Drosophila melanogaster: one gene and its partners. The protein of the gene in region 2 interacts with the protein of the main gene of each other region in a pairwise test. Each region holds a gene or a part of one and is shown on either strand. Other genes may lie near its edges.

The links.
Region 1: the proteins of InR (region 2) and chico interact in binary tests that used the Drosophila melanogaster proteins (3 or more experiments, as listed by UniProt).
Region 3: the proteins of InR (region 2) and dock interact in a two-hybrid assay, tested with the Drosophila melanogaster proteins (2 studies listed by BioGRID).

The regions. Positions count from the first base shown.
Region 1 is NT_033779.5:10,245,298-10,249,054, reverse strand, and holds the start of chico (chico), read left to right. Parts: upstream 1-1,976; 5' UTR 1,977-2,155; intron 2,156-2,521; exon of another isoform or gene 2,522-2,870; intron 2,871-3,015; 5' UTR 3,016-3,033; coding exon 3,034-3,400; intron 3,401-3,464; coding exon 3,465-3,645; intron 3,646-3,703; coding exon 3,704-3,757. Other genes in the region: bsk (basket), read left to right, coding at 141-270, 333-530, 594-858, 920-1,203, 1,282-1,407. UniProt on the Drosophila melanogaster protein: Activates phosphatidylinositol 3-kinase when bound to the regulatory p85 subunit. May mediate the control of various cellular processes by insulin-like peptides.
Region 2 is NT_033777.3:21,617,188-21,620,944, forward strand, and holds the start of InR (Insulin-like receptor), read right to left. Parts: upstream 2,135-3,757; 5' UTR 1,835-2,134; exon of another isoform or gene 1,540-1,834; intron 1-1,539. UniProt on the Drosophila melanogaster protein: Has a ligand-stimulated tyrosine-protein kinase activity. Binds 3 insulin-like peptide ligands.
Region 3 is NT_033779.5:823,860-827,616, forward strand, and holds the start of dock (dreadlocks), read left to right. Parts: upstream 1-2,109; 5' UTR 2,110-2,648; intron 2,649-3,757. Other genes in the region: CG3862 (uncharacterized protein), read right to left, coding at 574-1,938. UniProt on the Drosophila melanogaster protein: Adapter protein that links cell surface receptor tyrosine phosphorylation to downstream signaling pathways and effectors, many of which are involved in regulation of the actin cytoskeleton.

The DNA of each region.
Region 1 (3,757 bases), on a different chromosome or scaffold from region 2:
ACAATTTTTTGGCTTAAACAATTAAGATATTTCGCATGAGTATGAAGTCATATTTGTAACGCTCCATTGTATATTAGATTAGATTAGATGGGATTAGCTGGAATATGAAAAAAAAAAATAACAAATTTAATGCATTTCAGCGCCGCTTACGATACTATCACCCAGCAAAATGTGGCGATTAAGAAACTATCTCGACCATTCCAAAATGTAACCCATGCCAAGCGAGCATATAGGGAATTCAAGCTAATGAAGCTTGTTAACCATAAAAACGTATGAAACTTGCACCTTTAACTTTAACAAATTTCTACTAAACATAGGTATTTAATCCGTAGATAATTGGCTTACTTAATGCTTTTACGCCGCAAAGGAACTTGGAAGAGTTTCAGGATGTCTACCTGGTCATGGAGCTGATGGACGCTAATCTCTGCCAGGTCATCCAAATGGACTTGGATCACGACAGAATGTCCTATTTGCTTTATCAAATGTTGTGCGGAATAAAACATTTACACTCAGCAGGAATTATTCACAGAGTACGTACAGTATGAATACATCTTTAAAATGAGTATGAAATATATGAAATACTTCATTTGCAGGACTTAAAGCCATCCAATATAGTTGTAAAGGCCGACTGCACTCTAAAAATTTTGGATTTCGGTCTGGCACGTACTGCAGGAACTACCTTTATGATGACTCCCTATGTGGTCACCCGATATTACAGGGCTCCAGAGGTCATTTTGGGCATGGGATACACAGAGAACGTGGACATATGGTCCGTCGGTTGCATTATGGGCGAAATGATACGGGGCGGTGTGCTGTTTCCTGGAACGGATCATATAGATCAGTGGAATAAAATTATTGGTATGTTGCTGCTTAAATAACTTGATTCTCGTTATGATTGTCAACTTTTACGTTTTTTCAGAGCAATTAGGTACACCATCACCCTCGTTTATGCAACGGTTACAGCCAACCGTCCGAAACTATGTGGAAAATCGTCCTAGATACACTGGATACTCATTTGATAGACTTTTCCCCGATGGCTTGTTTCCAAATGATAATAATCAGAATAGCCGCCGGAAGGCTTCTGACGCTAGAAATCTTCTTAGTAAAATGCTAGTCATTGATCCAGAGCAGCGGATATCTGTGGACGAGGCTTTGAAGCATGAATATATCAACGTGTGGTATGATGCTGAGGAAGTGGATGCTGTAAGTGATTCTGGCATAAACTGGATTTCTAGGAATGTTGAATGTTTTTAATCGCTTAATTGCATGCATCTCTTGCAGCCCGCTCCGGAGCCATATGATCACAGCGTGGACGAAAGGGAACACACTGTGGAGCAGTGGAAGGAGCTAATCTATGAGGAAGTCATGGACTACGAAGCACACAATACAAATAATAGAACGCGGTAGAGAACGACTTTTTCCTCCTTAGTCAGTCACAAGAAAACTAAAGCTTACCAACAATACGGCGTGTATTGTTAAATTATTACAACAAATAAAATATTCAAATTGTATTTAAAAATATAGTAACCATTAAAAAATAAAATCAATATGCGAAACTTTGTAATTTCTTACTCATCCTTGTTTTTTGAGCCCGCTTTCTTAAGTTAAATCGTTAAAATACCAGTTTAATCATTTCATTGTCCTGATTTCAGGAGCTAATTACATTTTAATCTTTGTATAAATTCATAAAATTTAAATGGAAAAGTTTAACCATATAAATTATTTCGGTATATAAAGTCGATACATACTTTTAAAATTTTGTTTCATACAAGAATATGGAAAGTAGATAATTTAGTTACCGATAAAAACATTTCTAAAATACAAAAAATTTAAAATGATGATTAAATAAAAAACTGTTATACTAAATTTAAACGAAACAAACGGTCATTCGATAACTCAATTAGTATCGAATAAGCCGGCGTGTAAATCGGGCTGGCAACTCTCACCGGTGTAGAGATCGGGATGGCAACTTCGTACTGTTATTCCTATGCTGCGATAACGATAACAGCAAAGTGTCATCGCGAATAAATGTGGGTTTGATAATAAAGAATTGCGTTGGTGAACAATAATAATACAAATGCTAAATGTATCGCGCGGATAACTAGTAAACACTGATTTCGCGCATATCGGGCATACGGGCAGCTAGACGTCTTAGGTAACACATTTCCCAGCCACATTGGCGTTGAGGTATTATTTCCCATATCCATGTGCGTTTGTAAATGATACCACCAGAGTGTGCCATATGTATCGTTGTTTGTACATACATGCCTACGGGGAAAAATAACTCGCAGATACATATGTATGTAAGATGTATTAGAATTCCACAGATATATGTACATATAAATATATATATATATTTATGATGCTCATCTATAAAACAAAATATGTACAAACATACGCGCGCACGTACTTATGTATGTACATATGTACGTACATATATGTATAATAAAATGAGCATCTAGCTGCGGTTATCTTAATGCAATGCGCAGAAACCTGAAAACGAAATAAACAATCTTTACAGCGCCAGCACAGTGAGCCAATTATGAATTCACAATTCCACATCCAATTCCGATTCCGAATTCCATCGCTTTACATCCTAATTCGAATACGTCGCGCCGCGTAAGCTGCACTCGAATATTGACATAAACGACGTAATTGCGTGTTTTGATTGCGATTTCCGATGCTCGATGTTGACAGACGGCAAGGATTTTTTTTGCCAGCCGACATTGCGAATGCTTTTCGCGTGTTTGCGTTGTGAAAAGCGATTTGTTGTTCCGGCAGTTGGAAATGTTTTGTGCTGTTTATGCTTAGAAAAGCAAATGTATTGCACAAAACTCGTGTTTCCTACATTAGTAAAGCCTATAACTTAGGTATATGTTTCTAAATTACAATGCAAAAAATAAAAAACATTATACATGTGTTCGTTCTTTAATTTGAAAACAGAAAAGTGAAAGCCTTGCAAATCAAATATGTGTCCATATCGCCTACTAATAATATAAACACGTCGCCTTCCAGGAACTAAGATTGGAAATCATGGCATCAATATCGGATGACGGCATGGCGCTGAGTGGCTACCTCAAGAAGCTGAAGACCATGAAGAAGAAGTTCTTTGTGCTGTACGAGGAGACGAGCACTTCGGCAGCCCGGCTGGAGTACTACGATACCGAAAAGAAGTTCCTGCAAAGAGCCGAGCCAAAAAGGGTTATATATCTGAAGAATTGCTTCAACATCAATCGCCGTTTGGACACCAAGCATAGATTTGTCATTGTGCTCTCCTCCAGAGACGGTGGATTCGGCATCGTTCTCGAGAACGAAAATGATTTACGCAAATGGTTGGACAAACTACTAGTTCTACAAAGGAACATAGCCAATTCGAATGGAACAGCGCACTCACCTTATGGTATGCCAAATAAACTATAACTACCAGTTAGTATGAAACCTAAACACTTCATTTCACTTTGCAGACCACGTTTGGCAAGTTGTCATTCAAAAGAAGGGTATTTCGGAGAAAGTTGGAATCACCGGAACCTACCACTGTTGCCTTACTTCAAAATCCCTGACATTCGTGTGCATTGGACCGGAGAAGACGCCCAATGGCGAGGATCGCGTTGCGAGCATTGAAATACTTTTGACCACGATCAGGCGGTTAGTTGTTGCCAGCAAAACTGCAAGGGATTGTAAAATAATTCGGACTTAATTTCAGATGCGGTCATGCATCCCCACAATGTATATTCTACGTGGAACTTGGCCGCCAAAG
Region 2 (3,757 bases):
AAGCGCAGCGGCACGCCAATTAGTGCTTATGCTTTTTAATTAGCAAGCGGACCCATCCCCACATTTCCCCATTTTCCACCTTCCCGCCCACAAAACCACTTACCCGTAATATCTCCACGCCAGTTATTTGGGAAATATCTTCCCATTTATCACTATTTCAGTACACCCACAGACCCCCGATCTATTGATCTGCTTCCGTTGCGGATACAACACAAAATCAAAAGCCCGTAAATCGTGGGTGTATCTTTATCTCGTTCTTTTAAAGGGATATCCCACTTTTAATGTCAACTTAAGTCATTAAAGTCTCAACCTGCTTAAGTTGGCATTAAATAATTAATGTTTATAAAATGAAAACATTGTAGAAGCTCCAAACGTTTTTACAAAGTCTCCATTAAACTAAATTTAATGGATATCTTATACATATACCTTAAAGATAAAAAGAAACCCGATTTATAAGGTCACAGTTTGAGCAAATAGTTTGATCAACTTTTTGGGATTTGTTTTAGCAAGTGAGAGCTTTAAAATTGTACTGGATATATTTGGCTGGTTTACTCAGCATTTTGGTCACTCTAATTACGAGCTCCAAAATAAAATAAAAAACAGCACTGTCATGACTTTTTGACAACCGCTGAAAGTGTGGTGTCCACCATACATTAAAAAACAACACATTTTCCAAAGTATAACTTTAGAATTATAAAGGTTTGAAAATCATGACAAGTCAACAGGTGAGTTCAATTTTATTTTTGAAATATTAAATAAAAAATTGAGTTTTGCAGGTGGTCCTGAAGAGGGGGTGAGAGCAACATACATATTAAAGCGCCTTTTAAGGAAAAATGTATGGGTGTTTAATGGAAGTCGACTAAGACACTTCTTTGAAGTTTATTGTTTTGTTTTTTTTAATAATTTATACTAATTCTATAAATATTTAATAAAATTCTATTGAATAGCTCTTATTGACGCTTGTATGATTAATTTTAAAACTTACCAAGGACAATAAGGAGACAGTCTTTAGCAATAGTACTAAGTAATTTCATGAAATACTATTTTTAATAATAATGTTAGTTACTCTTTTAGTGCTGGCTTAATTTAATGCAATGGAAAACTTATCTGTACCACTTTTCAAAATGCGTGCAACAATAAAAAATAAACCAGCACAACAACAACAACAATAATAAAACAAAAACCGGCAGCAATCGAAATTCTTTCATTTCTTTTCCGCCTCTCTTCGCGCAGCCGCTCTCCGCACGACAGAGAGACAGAGAGAGAGAGAAAAAGAGAACAATGTTGGCTGCGCCGCTCATTCACAAAACGGAGACGTAAAGCGGTGTGCGAAGAAGAAGAACAACAACAGCCCAAGATATGATAGATATGGAACAACAACAAAAGGAACAAGAGGAACCGGGCGGAGAGAGGAGGAGGAGGAGAGCAAAAACAACTTGGCATAAATTGCTGCTGCGTAGTAATTTCACGAGTATTTTCCTAGTTACGTTCTCACTACTATTATTCATTTTATTATTATTTGTTGTTTTTGTTACATACCCCTTTGCAACGGTTTTGTTGTCGTGCATTGTTGATCTAGTTGTTGTTGTGTCACCTAATTTTTGATTTTTATTTCTATTTGTATTTTATTTTGGTATCGATTTCAAAATAGAACGACGCACTTTCCCAGACGCAGGCGTAATTAAATTTTCTTATGTTTTATTCGCGTGCTTTCTTTTTGCGCCGCAACTTCACAACATGCTGTGTATATATAAATAATAGGAGAGCGCGCGTGTGTGTGTGTATGTGTGTGTACACAAATTTTATTTATTTATTTACCGTGAATTTTACTCACACACCCGGACAAGCCGCACTCTCGCCAGCACACGAGAATCGCCCGCACTTGTATTTCGTGGAATTTCTTTAATTCGAACTCCACCGACCTCGCACTATTGCTCTGTATTTTGTATTTTCGCACTTTTCATTCACGAAATGCTGGGGCACATAATTTCGCCTTGCACAGTATTAGGTATCGGCAATTCACTGTGGCCTCTATTTGACAGCGATGATTTTCCGCACGACGAACACACTCACAATTCCAATTCACGGCGACCGCGGCAACGATCTCAACGTTTCGAAATCGCGTGAAACACTGCCAGCCGTTACCCTTGTTGTATACGCGATTTTCGGTTTAGCGCGTTTTCCAACTCTGTTCGGTCGTTTTCGAACTCTGTCTTTTGACCGCTTACAGAACTCTGTTAGTGCCGGCTGTTACACTAGCGCGCCACCTATAGCAGAGCTCTTCGTTTACCAACACGCCATGAAGCCCAATACTGAATCCTCGCGCACTAAAAACGGATATTCCATTTGTAAAAACTTTTATATGAGCATAATGTCATTAGCAAATATTACATTCTGGATCACTTTTTTTTCGAAAAATTTAGAAAATATAATAAAATAATGGCGCTATTATTGTGTCGATTTCTTAATGACATAGGAAATATTTTTATGTAATCATTGTCCAAGAGCATCTACTTTCCATGCAATCAAGCATAATCATTTCCTTGAACTCCCCGCCTAGGTGATAAATACTAACTAACTACAAATACTAGGAGCTGCTGTAAAACCAATTTAAACCAATTTTAAATATTTCGCTAGGATCTGCTTTTTGGGGTTTGGCTTTTAGAAACGCAAGTTTCAAGTTTAAAGATAGTGCGCCATACTTGAATATCGTAAATTGCAAGCAGTGCTACGTTTTACTGCTTTCCGAGTTGGCGGGCGCATTAAAATGCACTGCTTTCCCAGTTGGCGGGCGTTTTAAAACATGCAGACAAGTCTGCTAACTACTCATGGGTAAAATGATCAAAATCCAAGGAATGGATCACATATTTAAAATTCAACTTGGTGTTTAAAAAAATCTTTGAAAAGATGCATAAAACAGTACAGTCTTTATACTTTATTAAAAATAATTAATATAAAAAATAATATTTACCAAAAACATTCAAATGATGATTCAAAATTGCTTAGTTAAAAAAGAAGTTAGCAAAAAACACTTCTTGTGACCATGGCAAACTTCACCTTATTTAAATTCGGCTTGAAAAACTTAAATATTCAGTTTAATTGAAACAGTAGACATTCGGTTTTAAAAATTTATTTTGTTTATTTTAAAGTTTCCTTCGTTTTTGTAATATTTATTTTCTCTTTTTTTCATGTGTTTGTTTTTGGAAAGAAAGAAAAGTACCTAACAAGTGTGTTTTCTCTTATAAAAATTAAACGTACAATTATACAGTGGTTTCGGCTTGTTGCGGTTCTCCTTCGTTTATTTATTGATTTTTTTTTACAATTGTATGATTTGCATTTGTTTGTTGCTTTTATCTATCGTTTAGTTAAATATATAACTACTAGGAGAGAGTTTAAATAATTATTTATGTACTTGTAGTTGACTCTGTTAAGTGGTTGGTTGTTTGTTTTGTGGGATGATTTGGCTTCTATGAATAAACTGCTATTGGGCCCATGTGTGTGTTTACAGTTTAAATTTTATAACAATAACAAATTATGATACATAGTTATAGCTTTAATAATATTATAATTAAAAATCAATCGATAAATCCAAGCAAATGAAGAGAAGAGGATTCTGTTGCATGCGTCACTAAAACAGGAACCAAAGCCATCTTGTTGGGGGCCCAGGAGTGTTCTCTTCCTCTTCTACTACTGCTCCATATTAATTTGAAATGTCTTCGATATATTTTACAATTTGAAATTGATTTTCTTTTTATTG
Region 3 (3,757 bases), on a different chromosome or scaffold from region 2:
TATACATACACAGAGCCATGCCTACAAGTCTAGATCTGGTTACCACTGGTTAGCAGGACACACACCCACTCCGGGTGGATATATCATCATTGGCCAAGCGAGTTTAGCAAATTATAGACCCTAGTAAGGAAGCGTAACGAAAATGTACCTAGAACGCAATCAAAAGCGATCGACGAAATTGTGACAAATACGTGAAATGTATTAGCCTCGAGGGCGGATTGAAAGGATACGGAGAGATTGGATCGGTACACGCGCACAGACACACTGCGGCATTCCAAGTACATATTTTATATATATGCTCTTAAACTCTATTCTAACAATTAATGTATAGAACGGATTCAGAACGAAGCTATTTACAGCAAAAACAACCTGAGGGCGGAAAACATGGCAACTATCAGCATGCGTAAGAGAAACAAGTAAATTAATCTAAATGTTCTTTAAACTACTTACATGTATTAAACGCGAATTTGTGATCTTTAGCAGTGTGATCTTTATTGGTTGGGCTGCCACTGGCAATAGTATTTTCGACTAGAGTATACTTTAAGTTAACTAATCTAAAACAAACAGCTTAATCTAGAAGAACGGCTTGCACAAGGCAATGGTGTGATCCACTCCGTAGGCCACTTTGGTGACCTTTCCGTTGATGGCCGCCTTAAAGGGAAAGAACTGGTCCTTCTTGTGTCCCAGCCCCAGATGCCCGAACCTGTTCTTGCCCCACATGAAGAGATCTCCGTCCGAGTTGACGGCGCCCATGTGAAACACTCCGCATCCGATGGAAACCACTGTGGTTTCGTTGCTGAAGTCATTTCGTCCGAATAAAGGCGGCAACAGATGCTGCGGCTTGGATGTTTGCTCCACGAAGGGTCCGAAGCCGAGGATGCCAAAGCCCCAGGTGTACACCAGACCCTGGTCGTTGAGGGCCATGCAAAATGAGCCTCCCGCAGCCACATCCTTGATTTTCCCGATGGACTTCGTTAGTTTGAGAGCTCTAGGGATATTTATTTGGGTTTCGGCCAGCTCTGAGTCATCTAGCTGTCCGTACTCAGAATTGCCCCAGCCAAAGGCATCGCCCGCCTCGTTAAGGGCCAAAACGCAGTCCGAGGAGCAGCTGAGCCGCACAATCTTCTCCTTTTCCACATCTCCTCCAATCAGGGTTATCTGCCCGGCGGTGTGGTAGTTTCCCTGACCTGTTTGACCATCCGCACCCCAGCCACATGTGTAAATGCGTCCCTTTTTGGTAAGAAACATGCTGTGGTCCTGGCCGCACTCCACCTGGACCACCTCATCCTCCTTGCCGCATATATCTTCCTGCGATATCCTGTGGATCAGGGCACTCTTGCTGTACCGCTCCTCCTCTATGATGGAGCGGCCACATTGGCCGTACGAATTGTTTCCCAGGGTGAAAATGGTTCCGTTTTGGGTCAGAACCACCAGGTGAGCTCTACCCGCCGACATGCTCTTCACACGCATGTCCTCGTCTGTTTCTCCCTGAACTCTCGGCAGTTTAATGGCTGTAGGATAAATGATCACGTCAAGGTTGGCCGGATCATTGGGATTTCCCTTCACCTGGAAACCCAGTTGGGAGTCGGTGTTCAAACCGCTGCCAAAGAGCGTCTCTCCGTCATCTCTATTCACGGCGTAGACCGTGAACCCGTAGCCGGCGGCCACATCCGTGATTTCGTTGTTGTTGGAGAACTGCAAGCGGGTGGGATGGTGCACCATCTCCGTGTAGCGTTCCTTGGCCTTCTTCACGTTGGTCTGGAGACCGAGAGCGCCGGTTTCCTGAAAGCCCCACACGTAAACTCGGTGCTCATGGCTGTCCGTCGTCTTCGGTGAGTACTCCTTGATCTTCGACTTGTCCTGCGCCAGCACACCCCTCTTCGCCTTGGCGGTGTACGACCTGCTGATGCCAAGCACAATACCCCGAGTTTTCAGCATGGTATTTCGGGTTAAACCAACCATGTAATCCAAAATCATAACAAAAACGCCACCCGATATCGATAGACCCGATGACCGGACAAGTGCTGCACAGCGCGCAACGTGCTTATCGATAGTTCGCTAAGAAAAACCGCTGATACGCCACCTGACAGCCCTGGTCGTGGTCAATCGCTATCGCCTTCCGCACATCGAAATCGGATGGGCGACGTGAAAGAAACGGCTCCGGCAAAATCATTAAAATTTAATTAGTTAACCGCAAGAGAGCGCTGCAAAATTGTGCAAACAATTTGCCACTTAACGCAGTTAACGTGTGCGGTAATCAGAAGCGTGGAAAAGCGTTTATTTGTCAGGATTTGTGTGTTTTTCAATCGCGGCAGCAGCATATGTACACACACACAGGCTCACCCCCGCCCCACTCACACACACACACTCACGCCTAGGTGTATTATAATTAAAGTTGTGTTTTAAGTGTGTGTAAAGTGCAATAGCCCAGTGGAAAGTGGAAGTGATATAGAGTGCGTTCCAGGAGTTCCAGGAGCAGTGTCTTATCCCATGTCTTCCACTCCCAAATCCTGAGGATTGCCAAGGGTTAAGACCGAGAAATACGGACTCCGACTTTCCGGATAAGGATACGGATACGGATAAGGAGTGCCAGGATAAGGAGATCCAGGAGGAATATAGGAGTTGCCAGTCCAACCGCTTCGTCTCCGGTAGGTACACACAAAATATTCGGCTGCTCCTTTTTAGCTCCTGTTCGAATCTCTCACGGCTCTCTCTCTCGGCTCTCTCTCTCTCTCTCTTGACCTGCGCTCTCTCTCTTTATCTCGCCCTCGTCACCTGGTGGTGCGTAGTCCTTTGGCTCGGTCCACCACCCGCCCAGTGGGCGGTGCTGCAACCCTTAGCCCTCCGCTTTCCATCACCTTTTTTTGGGTAACCATGGTCGTGTTTACGGCAAACTGTGCCACCGATATATATGTGTGTACATATGTACCCTTTCCCTTGTCTAGATAGATGAAACAGATAAATCGTGAAGATGCTTCACTTACCATAAATCTATAATATGTTCATTGCTCAAATACTACTATAGTAGGTACTTGTGTTTTTCAAAAGCCTGTGCCAGGTACAAAAGCTTGTACTCTTAACAACACTGGGAACGAGTCCTGCCATCCTTTGCAGGACGAGAAGTCCACCCTCTCGCTGCCAAAAAGCCACCACCTCGCAGAGATTTTGCGCAGCATCTCTAAACGAAACGGCCGGCAAATGTCGCAAACTCCCTCGGCAACAAAAGCCAAAAAAAAAATACAAAATACAAAAAACAAAACCGAAACCGAAACCCCATTCGAATCCCATTCCCCAGCAAAAGCATCTACTTAATCAACCCGGGCGGGAGTGGACTCCCAGCTCCCTGAATGAGTGATCTTATGTAAACAGGCTGCCCTTTGCCTCCCACGCCCCGAGATCCAGATAAGAGTGCCCCACTTTCAGTTCCTCCATGGCTGCCCCATCCATCCACCGAAGTCGTAACTCAATGTTATAGACCCAAATGCTCCCGTTTCGGGGCCACCAATTCGTTCGTGATGGCTTTTCTTGGGGACCAATGACTATACTCCCTCGTCTGGAACCGATCTTCAACCAATACACAGACACAGCACGGGGAAACAAACTTTCCGCCTCATAAACTTGTGGGCTTGTCCCCCAAGCACGTGCAACTCTTTCTTTCTCTCAGCGAAAAGACGAACTGCTGTCAGGAAAACAATGAACGAGTGCACCGGAAAAAAACATAAATGTTTGTCATACGGGAAGCTAAGAAATCATACCA